Linked DNA regions of Arabidopsis thaliana. The protein of the gene in region 3 interacts with the protein of the main gene of each other region in a pairwise test. Each region holds a gene or a part of one and is shown on either strand. Other genes may lie near its edges.

Region 1 (3,843 bases), 3.2 Mb from region 3:
TAGGATAATAGGATATGATGGAATTTGGTTGGGGAACAGTGATAACTTACGCTTGCTTCCGGCGCCGGGAAAGTTGGAAAACCTACAAAGTACAGAAATGGATCTGGGCCTTGAAGTGGGCTTTTTATTAAAGAAAAAAATACATCTCCGTTATCAATCACCATCTTCTTCTATCTACAAATTAAAGAAGGTAACAACAGAACGTGGTGGATCATGTGGTTAGGCATTAATTATTTGCTTTGTTTCGCCGTTTTGGTAACACACAGACACAGTTCCGGTAAGAGCTTTTGCAGCCACTCTTTATAGTTATTTAGAATTGGCGATCGAATCAATCTCACTCCCTCCCTCCCTTAAGTCTTGTTGAATCTGCTGAATTGTTTTATAAAGAGTTACTTTGGCAAAATGGAAAATCCGGCGAAGAGAGTGTTGATGACATCCAACGGCGACGAGGTGTCCCGAAACATCGCTTTCCATCTAGCCAAACACGGTTGCAAGTGAGTCTCTCATTTTGTCTTCTTTCCTCCTATCCTGTGTTTCTTCTTCTAGCCCCGATTTGTGTTGTGGTTGACTTTGGTGTCTATAGTTAACCTTCAAAAAATGCAATGTACTGTTGCTAGGTTGGTAATGATGGGAAATGAGGGTTCCCTAAGGAGCATTGTAGACAAGATTAGAGATTCCATTGAGGGAGCCTTCCCTGCCGATGTTATAGCACTCGACATGGAATCTGACTCTGAAGTTGCTTTTCATGCCGCTGTCCAAAAGGCATGGGAACTTTCCGGCCATTTCGATGCTTTTCTCAACTCTTATACCTACCAAGGTTTAATTTGCTTCTTGTTTTTCACTACCCTGCCTTTGATGCTCTTGTGTGTTGATCATTCCTTTATTCAACAATCTTTCTTTCTTGCAGGAAAGGTGCAGGACATTCTTCAAGTCTCTCAAGATGAGTTCCACAGAATCACAAAGATCAATCTCACCGCTCCATGGTTTCTCTTGAAGGCTGTAGCCACAAGGATGAAGGACCATGGATCAGGAGGCTCCATTGTCTTCATGGCCACTATCGCCAGCGGAGAGAGGGCGCTTTACCCTGGCGCTGATGCCTACGCTTCAACTTCTGCCGCTATTCACCAGCTCGTCCGGGTATGCATCCTAGCTCCTAATTAGACACATCGCGTTCGTAACTTGAATATGTTTGTTGATGATTGGGTTTCAGGCATCAGCCATGAGTCTCGGGAAGCACAAGATACGGGTCAACATGATCTCTAGAGGGCTGCATCTGGATGATGAGTATACAGCTTCTGTGGGAAGAGACCGAGCGCAGAAGCTGGTCAAGGACGCTGCACCCCTCGGCCAGTGGCTCAACCCGGACACAGACCTCTACTCCACTGTTATCTACTTGATCAGCGATGGCTCACGCTTCATGACAGGCACCACTGTCTTGGTGGATGGAGCGCAGTCCCTTACGCGACCCCGTCTCAAATCCTACATGTGATCAATGCCTAGTATTATTATAATTCTATGTTGTGTGTAAAAAGTGAATATGAATCAAGTTTGAATAACTATGGAGGGATGAATAATCCATGGAATCAATGATTATATACTTTTGACAAGTATAGAAGAAAGCAAAGAGCCAAAATAGTCAACAATCTCAACATCATTCGAGCTCATTGTTTATTGAATTCAATCAAGTTTGGTAGGTGAACCTCAAATACACGTGATATTGGATATTATCTTGGAAACCTTGCTAATCCAAATTGTAAATCAAATAAGAAAAGAATGATTACCTCAGAGATCTAGATGCATATTGATTCTTGACCAAGAAATATGTTTGAAATTTGAATCCATTGAACCAAAATTTGAAGGAGTTGCATATATAATAATATAAATCAGAATGATGTAGCCGCCACACCTTTTTGTTTCCACAAAACTCTTTTTCTGTGATGGATCCGCTAATGTAGCCATATTTTCAATATATATCACTTTCTCTGGCATCTTCGCTACCGTGTACGTCTCTCTTTCTCTCCCTCCCCTCCTTGGCTTTTTTCAAGTTCCCACCATAAACGCAGAGGGAGTTAAGAAATGGAGGATAGGAGGTGTGATGTGTTGTTTCCATGTTCATCATCGGTTGATCCTCGCTTGACAGAGTTTCATGGGGTCGACAACTCTGCTCAGCCGACAACATCATCCGAAGAGAAGCCAAGGAGTAAGAAGAAGAAGAAAGAGAGAGAAGCGAGGTACGCGTTCCAGACAAGAAGCCAGGTTGATATACTGGATGATGGATACAGGTGGAGGAAGTACGGCCAAAAAGCAGTCAAGAACAATCCATTCCCCAGGTACGTACTTAATCATCAATGAATGATACTGTATGCTTGCTATGGTGATCAAATAAGAGACTCATATACATACATGTAAAATATGAATATATATATATATAGGAGCTATTATAAGTGCACAGAAGAAGGATGCAGAGTGAAGAAGCAAGTGCAGAGGCAATGGGGAGACGAAGGAGTGGTGGTGACGACATACCAAGGTGTTCATACACATGCCGTTGATAAACCCTCTGATAATTTCCACCACATCTTGACACAAATGCACATCTTCCCTCCCTTTTGCTTGAAGGAATGATTAGAGGAATTGGATTGTAATATTTACTTTCCCAAAAACGTTGGGCTCACACCATCAGACCTTTACTTTTAAACTAGCAGCAACTCACATATCTCAAAAATACTAATCCTTATCTTTGTCTTTATGGGACCTTTGAATCCATCTGCTTTGGTGTCTTAGTCTCGGCTGCCCTGTAATCGAAAGTATATTCATCATCAAATTACCAAACATAAAGAAGCAATGATGAGTCTATCATCTACAAAAACAATGTTATGTATCCCAAACCTACCGATTATTCCAAAACTAGTGACAAGCTAAGGATATTGTGGAGATGAAGATGAGAAAGAGTACGAAAGCTAACTTTGAGGTTTCTTCTTGGATCCAATTGCGAATATGCTTCACGTTTCGCTTTAGAACGGAGGACGCTTTCTTTGTTAGGCCCATTAGCCTGGGCTCTCGTGTTTTTCATAATGTCAAGTCAGCCCAACAAGCCCAAATCTTTACAAAAAGAACCAAGGACCATGTCATCCGGAATATGGTGATATTATTGGATTATACCATTGGACCATTTAACACAAAAGCAAATATGCAACAGAATATATATAGATCACATAACAGTCAGAATCTTCTCAAAAGATATGCTTTCTTCCTTTTCTATTCTAGAGTGTTTTGATGACATCGGCACGAAGATAATGTTATTTTACAGATTTAGCTAATTAAGTCTTTCGTAATAATTATCAAACTCAAATTGTTGCGTTTTAATTTACCGCCGCCACAATACCGCACGAAGATAATGTTATTCGCTTGTGAATTTCTTTATATTAATCTCTCACGAATAAATTAATTCACATTCTTACATAAATCGAAACTTATCCACATTTTCTTGATTCTTTTCAAAAGTTATACGAAAAAGTTAGTTACACAAAATTTATTAAACACGGATAAAATAACGGTTCCTTAATCTCAACACTTTCACTTTTTTCCGAACCCATTGAATGGAAAAATGTTATGTTCTTTTTTTATATAGCAATTGGGAAAATATGTTTTGCAATGAGAAATTGTAGAGTTTGCGGCTTTGCGCCATCCATTATTTCATATAGAACTTAGAGAATAATATATCTATTAATTGAACTACAAGATATATCTTATAAATTTTCTCCGAGATATTTCTCATAAATCGTCCGTATCATCTGTCTACCGCGGAAGATAGATAATTAAGGAGCGTAAATATAGTGCGTAAGG
Region 2 (4,793 bases), about 14 Mb from region 3:
TAGAAAACTAAGAGAATTATAAAACAGGTAAGAACTTACCTTCCCCTTCACAATTTGCACAAACTAAACTGTTTGGTTTAGTGCCCTGAGGATTATTGTTTGCGGCCTATTGATACCACAGAATGAGATTTTGCATTAACGAAATGGTCAATGAAGTAAGCAAATTTTATAGAGAAGAGAAGAGTTTGGGAAAATTCTAACCTTAACTTCAAAACTTTGGGATCTTGAAGTCTGAAGCAGTTCTCTCTTCTGTACCAAGGAAGAGGTGTTATCATTAGTTGAGAAGAAGTGAGAAGGTTTAGGGTTTTTGCTTGGAGATTGGAAGCAAAAGGTAGGAGGAGAAGAGAAGAAGCATAGTGAATTCGCCATTTTCTGTTTTCTGATTCTTCTTACCCACTCGATAGCAAAGATAAGATGGCTCCTCTCACTTCTCTTTTTCTCAAGTGCCTATTTTACCAAAATACCATCATATTCTTTATCCAATCCAAACCAAAACCTATTAACCGGTTTTGTCTTTTAAACCCAATTTCACATTTTAGTTTCCATTAGAAAGCTTTTTTCTTAAAAAGAAATTTGATTTTTTTTGTTCTGTTTCTGTGTTTTTAGAATCTTAAGACAAAAGAAAATGACAATGGTTAGAGCTAATTTACTTATTTATCTCAAACGACCCATCAAGGCCATAACTTCCTGATCCTATGAACAACCATCAAAAACAAGAAATAGCCAAGGCCAAACCCACAAGGACATCAGAACGATGTATTAAAAAATACAAAACCAGAGTCCTTCATAAGTTGCCATGTCTTATAACTTGCGTTGCTACTCCATGTGGAGCCGTTCAAGACCTCATTCACTGGCTTTCAGCCGCTCTCCAAGTAGCCGAGAAGACCACGAGTCAGCCGCGCTAGCATACCTTGGACATGGCTTACTCACATTTGAGCTATTAAACATCAAAGGCTGCTGCGCTTGAGTCATTTCTGAGATATCTTGTGTCTGGGGATCAGGTTGTATTGGAAGGACAAGAACTGTTGCAGGAGGATGAAGAGTTGTAGCAGATTGTTGAAAGCCGGGGCCTTGGAAAATGGGAAGTCCTGGGAACTGAGATACACGTTCAGGATGTTGTTGTTGATAATGATGATGATGGTACTCGGGTGCAGGAGAGGTGTTCAAGTCAGGTTTCGACTGATTCGCTCTAGCTTCAATCTCGTTTTGTAGTTTCGAAATCTCAGTCTCAAGCACTGATGTTTCTTCCTTGAGCTCATTCTTCTCTGTGGTTACCTACACACAACACCAGTTTCCATCAACAAGACCATTTAGAAAAATACAAAGATGAAGTAACTTCTTGAAGCAACATTCGTCTTAGTTGTTGATTCACGTCACAGAATACATAAACACAATCAATGTGCATATAGAAATTGACTTACATAGCTAGATTCAGATAGGAGAGAAGCATGCTCCTTTCTAAGAGACTCAATTTGACCAAACACGTCCTTCAAGAATCGAGTAGCTTCGCATAGTATAGAAGCTTTCCCACTGTTCTGTTGATTCAGTTCTGCAACAAAGAAACATGTTCACAGTTAGATATCACAATCACATTCAAAATATCACAACACACTCGAGCAATTGTTCATTCAAATCTACGGAAAGATGAGAAATTTACCAAGAGTATCGGCTAATTCAATGAAAAGCTCATTCAAATGCTCACGCTTAAGCCTCTCACGAACGGCCTTGTTGATCCTTTTCGGTACTTTACCTTTTCTACATCTGTTTTATACACCAAACATAATCAATCCCCATAAATAAAAATAAAAGGTTCCATAATCTATTTCCAAGAATTGTCTCCTTAAGAATCACCTTTCATCTGCAGTAGCATTTGCTTCATCAGACGATGTAGAAGGAGTTTTCGATACCATCTTTGCTTTTATTACAGAACAAGATTCTCTGTCAAGTCACCTAAAATTTAGACATAAGATGATTAATCAAAAAGAACAGTGATCTTAATGAATCTAACAAATCATTCATCTTTATAATCAATCAATCACTCCTAATGTCAAATAAACACAAACGCACCAAGAAACATAGGAGCAGAAAAAAAAAAAAAACTTTCGTGTGATTTTTGATTCCTCAAAAACTGAAGCAAGTGTTTTAGATTCTGTCTTTATTACCCATATTCTTGTCAAATCAAATAGTGAAGAATAATTCTCAAAAATTACGGCTAAGTTCTCAACACAACAGATTCAGAGAAAAGAACTACCTTTCTTTCTCCGGTGAGAATCTCGTCGGAAACTGTAGACGATTAGGATTCGAAACGAGTAGAAGAAATAATAAGAGAATCTGAGAAAATGAAGAGTGAAATTGTTTTTTTTGGAGGAAGAAGGTCCGAAGTTGAGGAGGGCGTGTGGAGGCGCGTGGAGAGCACAGAAGAAGGTGGTGCGTTTAAGTGGACACGTGAGTTCGACATGTGCCTTTCTCTTTTTTACTTTTGTCTTCTTCTCTTACGTTGCGTGCCACTAAAGCTCATCTCTCATGGACACGTCATCGTATCTTTAATTAATAAAATAATAATATTAATCGAGTGGAAGAGTGGTTTAAATCGGGTAAAGTTCTATTAATGGAAATGTTTGTTGAGTGTAAATAACATTGTATTTTCTACAGATTAATCGGGTAAAAAGTTGTACTATCTGTTTAAGAATTTTATCGAGTAGATGAAAAGTAACATTTTCACAAAAATATACCGTAGAACACCAAAAAAAAAAAACAGGGGCATGTGGGGTCAACGTGAAGGATAATAAAGGCATGGAAACGCGCCGTCGAGAGCTGATGACGTGTCTGTCGTGTGTTTCCCACAAACTCTATTTATTGACGGTATGATGATTAGTATACACATTTTTAATGGCATAGTCAAATTCAGTGGGTGAGGAAAAATTGAAGATAGGAAATTAAAAAGAAATAACGAAATTATATTAATCTGCCTATTCCTCTTCTCCTTCATTTTGAATTCAAAAACCGAAATACTATATATAGTTTTGCGGTTCGAATGATGACTGTATTTTGTGATACGGAAAAAGTATGGGACGGTTCAAATAATAACAAAAATACATAGATATATATGTATATATAGAGATTTTTTATACTGTTACAGTTACGGTACGGTTTTGGGGGCGGTCTATGTCACCATTCATACACTGTGATTAAGAAACATACAAAAGGCGTTTTCTTGTTTTTTTATTAAAACTACAATACAGTTACCAATCAATACTTTTAACAAATTTGCGTTTTTCGAAAAAAAAAAGAAAAAAGTTTGCAATTTTGTCCTAAAAACAATACACTGGAATGCTTTTCAAAAGAAGAAAAATCATTTACCTAGTGTTTTTGCTCAAAACCGCATTCCAACAAAAAAATCGTTCATTACTCCATTACTTAAGCAAATTGTTATGTCCTACGTCCCAACCAAAAGTTTCTCAGCCTTTGCCTCTTCCATACACACATCCCTCGTTTATTACTCCATTACTTAAGCAAATTTTAATTTTTTTTCCATTAGCTTCCCCATTTAAATATATGTACAAAAAAAGAGAGTATATGTGTGCATCAGAATCACTAGTTACCTAGTGCATAAAAGAAAAAAATATACGTAGGACATAACAATTTGCTTAACTAATGGACTTTAATATATATATATATATATATATATATATATATATATATATGCAATAATTATAGTTTTATTCTTTTTATTTAATTAAAATCTAAGAAAATGTAATTACAAGAAATAGAAATATCATAATACTTATAGAAATTTTGACAATTATTATCCACTATAAGCTTATATAAGTTCTATAATCAATTTACTAGTAAAAAATTATGATTTTTTTTTCAATTTTTTATGATGAAACTATTCAACGAATTTAATAATATGTATGTTAAACTTTAAAAATGTATATTTTGATTTATTTATGTATTAATAATTTATAAATATATGTTATTGCTTATTTATTAACACAAAAATAATAATTAATTATTAATATATATATATATATATAATTTATAATCCGCACCGCAAATAATTTTTTCATCAATCAAACATTATTCTGTACCGCTTATTTTGTACAAACCATATTTGTCCCGCAAATATATTTTTCTCGCACGTACCGTAATTGAACTGTACTGCAATGTTATACCACTTTTCTCACATATTAAAAACCGAGGTTACCATTCGGACCATAATATATTTTTTCATCAATTGTTTGCATTATAAAAAGAAAAAAAAAAAGAAGAACAAATCGGAGGGTTCAGATTTCAGAAACAAAATACCGAACCGCTAGGTCGTTGGTTTTGCCGGTTCGTTTGCACCGGGATTTTAGAGCTAGACAGGGACCAAATAATTAAGCGGATCGTGGGTATTACCGGTCCGGGTCCGGAAAAACATCTGTTAGAAACTAATCTCGTTTGGCCCAAACCCAAAAAAGCTAGCTTCACGGCGTTTGTTGTTCTTCCTCGCTCTTCGCCGCCTTCACTCGCAGTCGCAGGTAAGCTTCTTCAATTCCCCTCTTAAATCAACTAACGCTTCCTAATTCCTCCTCTGGCTTCGTTCCTCTCCTTTTTTCCAAGGTTTGTGTCAATCTGAAATCAAAATGATCAAATGATCATGAACTTAATTGTAGAAACTTTAATTAGATTACTCGAAATCAAATTTGACCAATCTATCAGAAGCAACCTTTTTATTACGTTTCTTCATCTGAATAGGTCTGCCCAGTTGAATACATTACAAGGGTTATTTTTGTCTGAATGGAAACTAC
Region 3 (4,258 bases):
ATCAGATGCTTACTTCATCATATGTATGAAAAAGGGTTTTAACTTCAAAAGTAACCATCACATGCGATGAGATAACTCAGGTACAAGATGAGCCTTGGAAGGTCAGAGTCCTTACCAGTTTTGGACCAAGTGGTAGGCCAAGGTGAGTAAAGTGAGGTGTTTTAGATGAAGAGCTTCTTTGTAAGTCAGGTATGAATAGGAGAGCACATGCTTATGTCATCCCGAAATTCTACCAAACATGAAACATTGATATATATGCTTCTATGATGTTCTTTTTTGAGGCTCCAATAATACAGCCTCATGTGTCAACTCGTCTCCCTCAGGCCACAAGAGTCTTGTCCTGGAGATTCCAGAGTGCAGCAAAGTCACATAAGCAAACATCCAAATCAATAGCTTGGTGGGTTTGATCAAATTCCAAACTGAATTATGAATGACTCTGATAAGAGTTCTCCTCAGAACCGTTCTACGCATCTTGTTAAGTCTGTACACATTCCTGAAACCTGCCTAAGCAAAAGAGTAATTGCAGATCACAGAAAGAGAGATGAGCACAATTTGGAACTGCAGACACTGATACACAAACCATCATACATTGATACTTCACAAAAGTACATCTTGATATGTCAGATACTATGAGAGTTCTTTTGGTAATTCGCATTGCTACTACCAATGTAACTCTACAATGCTAAAAAAGAGAATGAAAAAGAAGAAGAAGAAAAAAAGCATCGCGCTATAACTTAAGAAAACCTAAAGATCAATAATAATAACATCTTCTCCAAATCGTATGAGCTTTAGATCCAACCATTGCTCCTTGCTTCACATCAGTAACTCCTCCACAATCTACAATCCTACAACTTCTTACCTATACAACAAACAAAGCACAACTGAAGTTTCAGTAAACTCATCAATCACAACAAAACACACATAAAAATGAAAACTTTACCTGAAGCAGCTCTTCGTTTCCCAAGTTTAGATTTCTCAAGCTCCAATTGCATCTCCATCAACATATTCATTCGTTGTAACTCAAGCTCCTTTGCAACTTCCATTCTCTGTTTCTCCAATTCAATCATCATCTGTTGCTTCTTCCCCTCGATTCTCTCAAACGCTTCCCCTAACTTCAGAATCGATCTCGCTAGCTCCCTAAAGGCTGATCCTTCACTCGAATCTACATCTTCAACTTTACGATGCTTCCTCACCACAAATCCCCAATCACCCGCATCATCATCATCTTCTTCGTCGTCATCATCATCATCATCATCGTCATCGAGAGAGCTACCAGTTGATTTAGATCCAGTAGGATTCAAATTAGGGTTCATCAACGCCGATTTAACAACAGCACCGGACGATTTCTTCATAACCGGACCGATTAAGAAATCGAGTCTATCAAAGAAGCACCAATTCGATAAAGGTTTCGCCTTTTCAGTTTTGTACTTCTTCTTCAACGTATCGATCCGGTTTTTGCACTGTACATCGGTCTTTGGCCGGCCATTCCCGTGGCTTGAATTGACGGCGTCGGCGACTTCTTTCCAATCGTTTTGCCGGAGATTTCCCCGGTTGAGATTGACGTAACGATCTCCCCAAGCTTCGATCAATGTCGCCGTAGCGTCTTCGCTCCACCAATCCTCTCTTCCCGCCGGTAGACGGTGAGTCTTCGACTGAGTCTCCGGCGTCGTCTCCATCTCGGAGTGGGAAAGAGAGGAGGCTAACGTGCGCGGTGGAGAAAGAGGCTTAGGATAAGAATTTCTGTTGGATCGGATTTTTGGTAAAGTTAAAAGAGAAATTACGGTTAAAGGAGAGATTTTTGATTACCGGCGGTGACGTCAGCAACGGCGATTATCTTCTTTCTCCTACCTCTCTCTTTTTCCTCTGCTAACCGAATCAATCACACTCATTTCTGAAAAACCGGTTATCGAAAACGGTTATCGAAAACCGGTTTAATCATAAATTGAGAGTCCTACTAACTAGGCTACTACTAGTTATAGTCAATTTCAAGCTTCTTTTAATGCGTTTCTACGGGTAATGATGATAAGATTACATTATTAAACTCATAGACTGATTGATAATAACGATTAGGGCTAGAATCTCATCAGTTCATGTCATTATAGGAAATCTTATAACGTGTATTTTTGTGTATTCTAGGAAAGACAGTAAATATGAGGTTGTATTAGTTTTGGTAGTGGTTTTTAAAAGTCATAATTGGAAAGAAAGAAATGTTATCAGAATATTAAGAAAATTTATACGTTTTGTGTATTCCAGTAACAAGATCATTTACGTTACGCCGTAACAAATTGAAGTTTGGAAGTGAAAAATGGTGGGATGTAATTAAGGAAATAGGTAAGCAGGCGAATTGTTAGGTAATAAGAGAGAGCATCGCAAACGTGTTAGGTCGTAGACTCTATGTCTATAATGTATGTTTCGTGCCGTGTCTTGTCTAATTGTCTTTTTGCTGTCTCGCCAATTGATATGTTAGTCCATGCCTAACTACTACTGTTTCCTCATAACTACTAAAATGTCGCTGAAATATTTGAAAAAAGAGCTGAGGTGTTTTTTCTGTCGATCAAAGTTTCCACGATGGTCTTGGTGAAGAGCTAGTAGAAATAAGCATATAGTTAGTGATGTTAACTTGGGCATTGAATAGCCATTTGTTAAATGGGTATGTGCAAAAAAAAATAACCCATTTAAACCCATTTAGAGAAAAATATCAAATGGGGTTAAATGGGTTACCCCAATTAAACCTATTTAATAAATGGGTTTACCCACAAACAAATGGGTACCCATTTATGTTTTATTTTATATTAGTTATTTTTATTAAAAAGTAGATAACTTAATTATAACTAAAATAAAGAGCAAAATACTAAATATATTTAAAACAAAACGTAAAATCACGTTTTTCCGCTAAAACCCATAAAATTACGTTTTCCCACCAAAATCACGTTTTTTACCAAAATCGAAAATCACATTTTCCCACCAAAATCGTAAACCGACGTTTTTCCGCCAAAATCGTAAAATCACGTTTTCCCGCCAAAACTGTAAAATGACGTTTTCCCACCAAAATTGAAAATCACGTATTTTCGCCAAACCCGTAAAATCACGTTTACCCGCCAAAATCGTAAAATCACGTTTTCCCGCCAAAATCGTAAAATCACGTTTTCCCGCCAAAACCGTAAAATCACGTTTTCCCGCCAAAATCACAAAAAGTGTTTTCCGCCAAAACCGTAAAATCACGTATTTCCGCCAAAACCGTAAACGACATTTTCCCGTAAAACCGTAAAATCAAGTTTTCCCGCCAAAATCACAAAAAAAAATATTTTTTGCCAAATTTGAAAATATTATTATCATTATATGTTATTGAAATCTATATTTTAGTAAATTATAAATATTTCAGATTTAGCTAATGTTTATGGACTGTTGTTATTTATCTATTAAGTTTATGAATTAATTAATAAAAGGCAATATCTCACTTAATTGGTTTAAATGGGTTCACATGGATTTACTAAATTTAAATGGGTAGGGTTAAATGGGTTTCAAAAATAAATGGATTTATATGAGTTTAAAGTTAAATGGAGTGGGTTTAAATGGGATGGGTTTAATTGGGGTGGGTTAGCCCATATTAACATCACTACATATAGTTTTCTAAACTAAATATGTCATTATCATCATTTACTGGTTTACATGCATCTTTTATACATTTCAAACTTTCTTATGAAAACGCAGATGTGAAAAGATAAATCATGATTTACAGGTTATCAAAGTGATGTGAGTTGGAACGTAAAACAATTTAGTTTGTCAACTGAATCTTAGACGCAATCGATTATTGTTACTCTTAAATCACTTTACAATAATATCAAATATCACATCCTGCAGCCAAGTAATCGAGCTAATCCATGATCAAGTATAGGTGGTGAAGCAACTAAAAATGTAGCCAATTTCGTTTGTACGCATAATTAAACAATGCTATTTATTTTAGTATGTTGCTACTTGCCAGTTGCTACCATTGGGATCTCGAAAACACACAAACGTACGTGCATGTTGCCTAATATAGTCTTTATTATTGTTCCTAAACTAATTAAGACAAATTAAAACAATATATAAAGTAACAAAAAAAAATCCCACTTTCCTTCAAACTTGAGTCTTGCTTGTACAGACAGTTGTACTACTTGTGGAAGCTGTTTAACTCAAATTAATATTCTCTTTCTGTTATTTTATTTAAGGAAATACAATCACGTGACTGAGATTAGCACTAGTATACTATATATATACA

What was found. Proteins that work in one complex are often made in the same cells at the same time.
Region 1: the proteins of AT3G11100 (region 3) and WRKY45 interact in binary tests that used the Arabidopsis thaliana proteins (3 or more experiments, as listed by UniProt).
Region 2: the proteins of AT3G11100 (region 3) and PYE interact in binary tests that used the Arabidopsis thaliana proteins (3 or more experiments, as listed by UniProt).

What each region holds. Positions count from the first base shown.
Region 1 is NC_003074.8:325,393-329,235, reverse strand, and holds WRKY45 (WRKY DNA-binding protein 45), read left to right. Parts: upstream 1-1,823; 5' UTR 1,824-2,076; coding exon 2,077-2,330; intron 2,331-2,432; coding exon 2,433-2,622; 3' UTR 2,623-3,284; downstream 3,285-3,843. Other genes in the region: AT3G01980 (NAD(P)-binding Rossmann-fold superfamily protein), read left to right, coding at 403-494, 618-1,137, 1,211-1,489. UniProt on the Arabidopsis thaliana protein: Transcription factor. Interacts specifically with the W box (5'-(T)TGAC[CT]-3'), a frequently occurring elicitor-responsive cis-acting element.
Region 2 is NC_003074.8:17,565,152-17,569,944, reverse strand, and holds PYE (basic helix-loop-helix (bHLH) DNA-binding superfamily protein), read right to left. Parts: upstream 2,820-4,793; 5' UTR 2,743-2,819; exon of another isoform or gene 2,741-2,742; intron 2,470-2,740; exon of another isoform or gene 2,252-2,469; intron 2,100-2,251; 5' UTR 2,068-2,099; intron 1,951-2,067; 5' UTR 1,911-1,950; coding exon 1,852-1,910; intron 1,762-1,851; coding exon 1,658-1,761; intron 1,550-1,657; coding exon 1,422-1,549; intron 1,276-1,421; coding exon 844-1,275; 3' UTR 560-843; downstream 1-559. Other genes in the region: AT3G47650 (DnaJ/Hsp40 cysteine-rich domain superfamily protein), read right to left, coding at 40-106, 202-369; AT3G47630 (translocator assembly/maintenance protein), read left to right, coding at 4,783-4,793.
Region 3 is NC_003074.8:3,475,645-3,479,902, forward strand, and holds AT3G11100 (sequence-specific DNA binding transcription factor), read right to left. Parts: upstream 2,257-4,258; 5' UTR 1,677-2,256; coding exon 941-1,676; intron 860-940; coding exon 846-859; 3' UTR 543-845; downstream 1-542.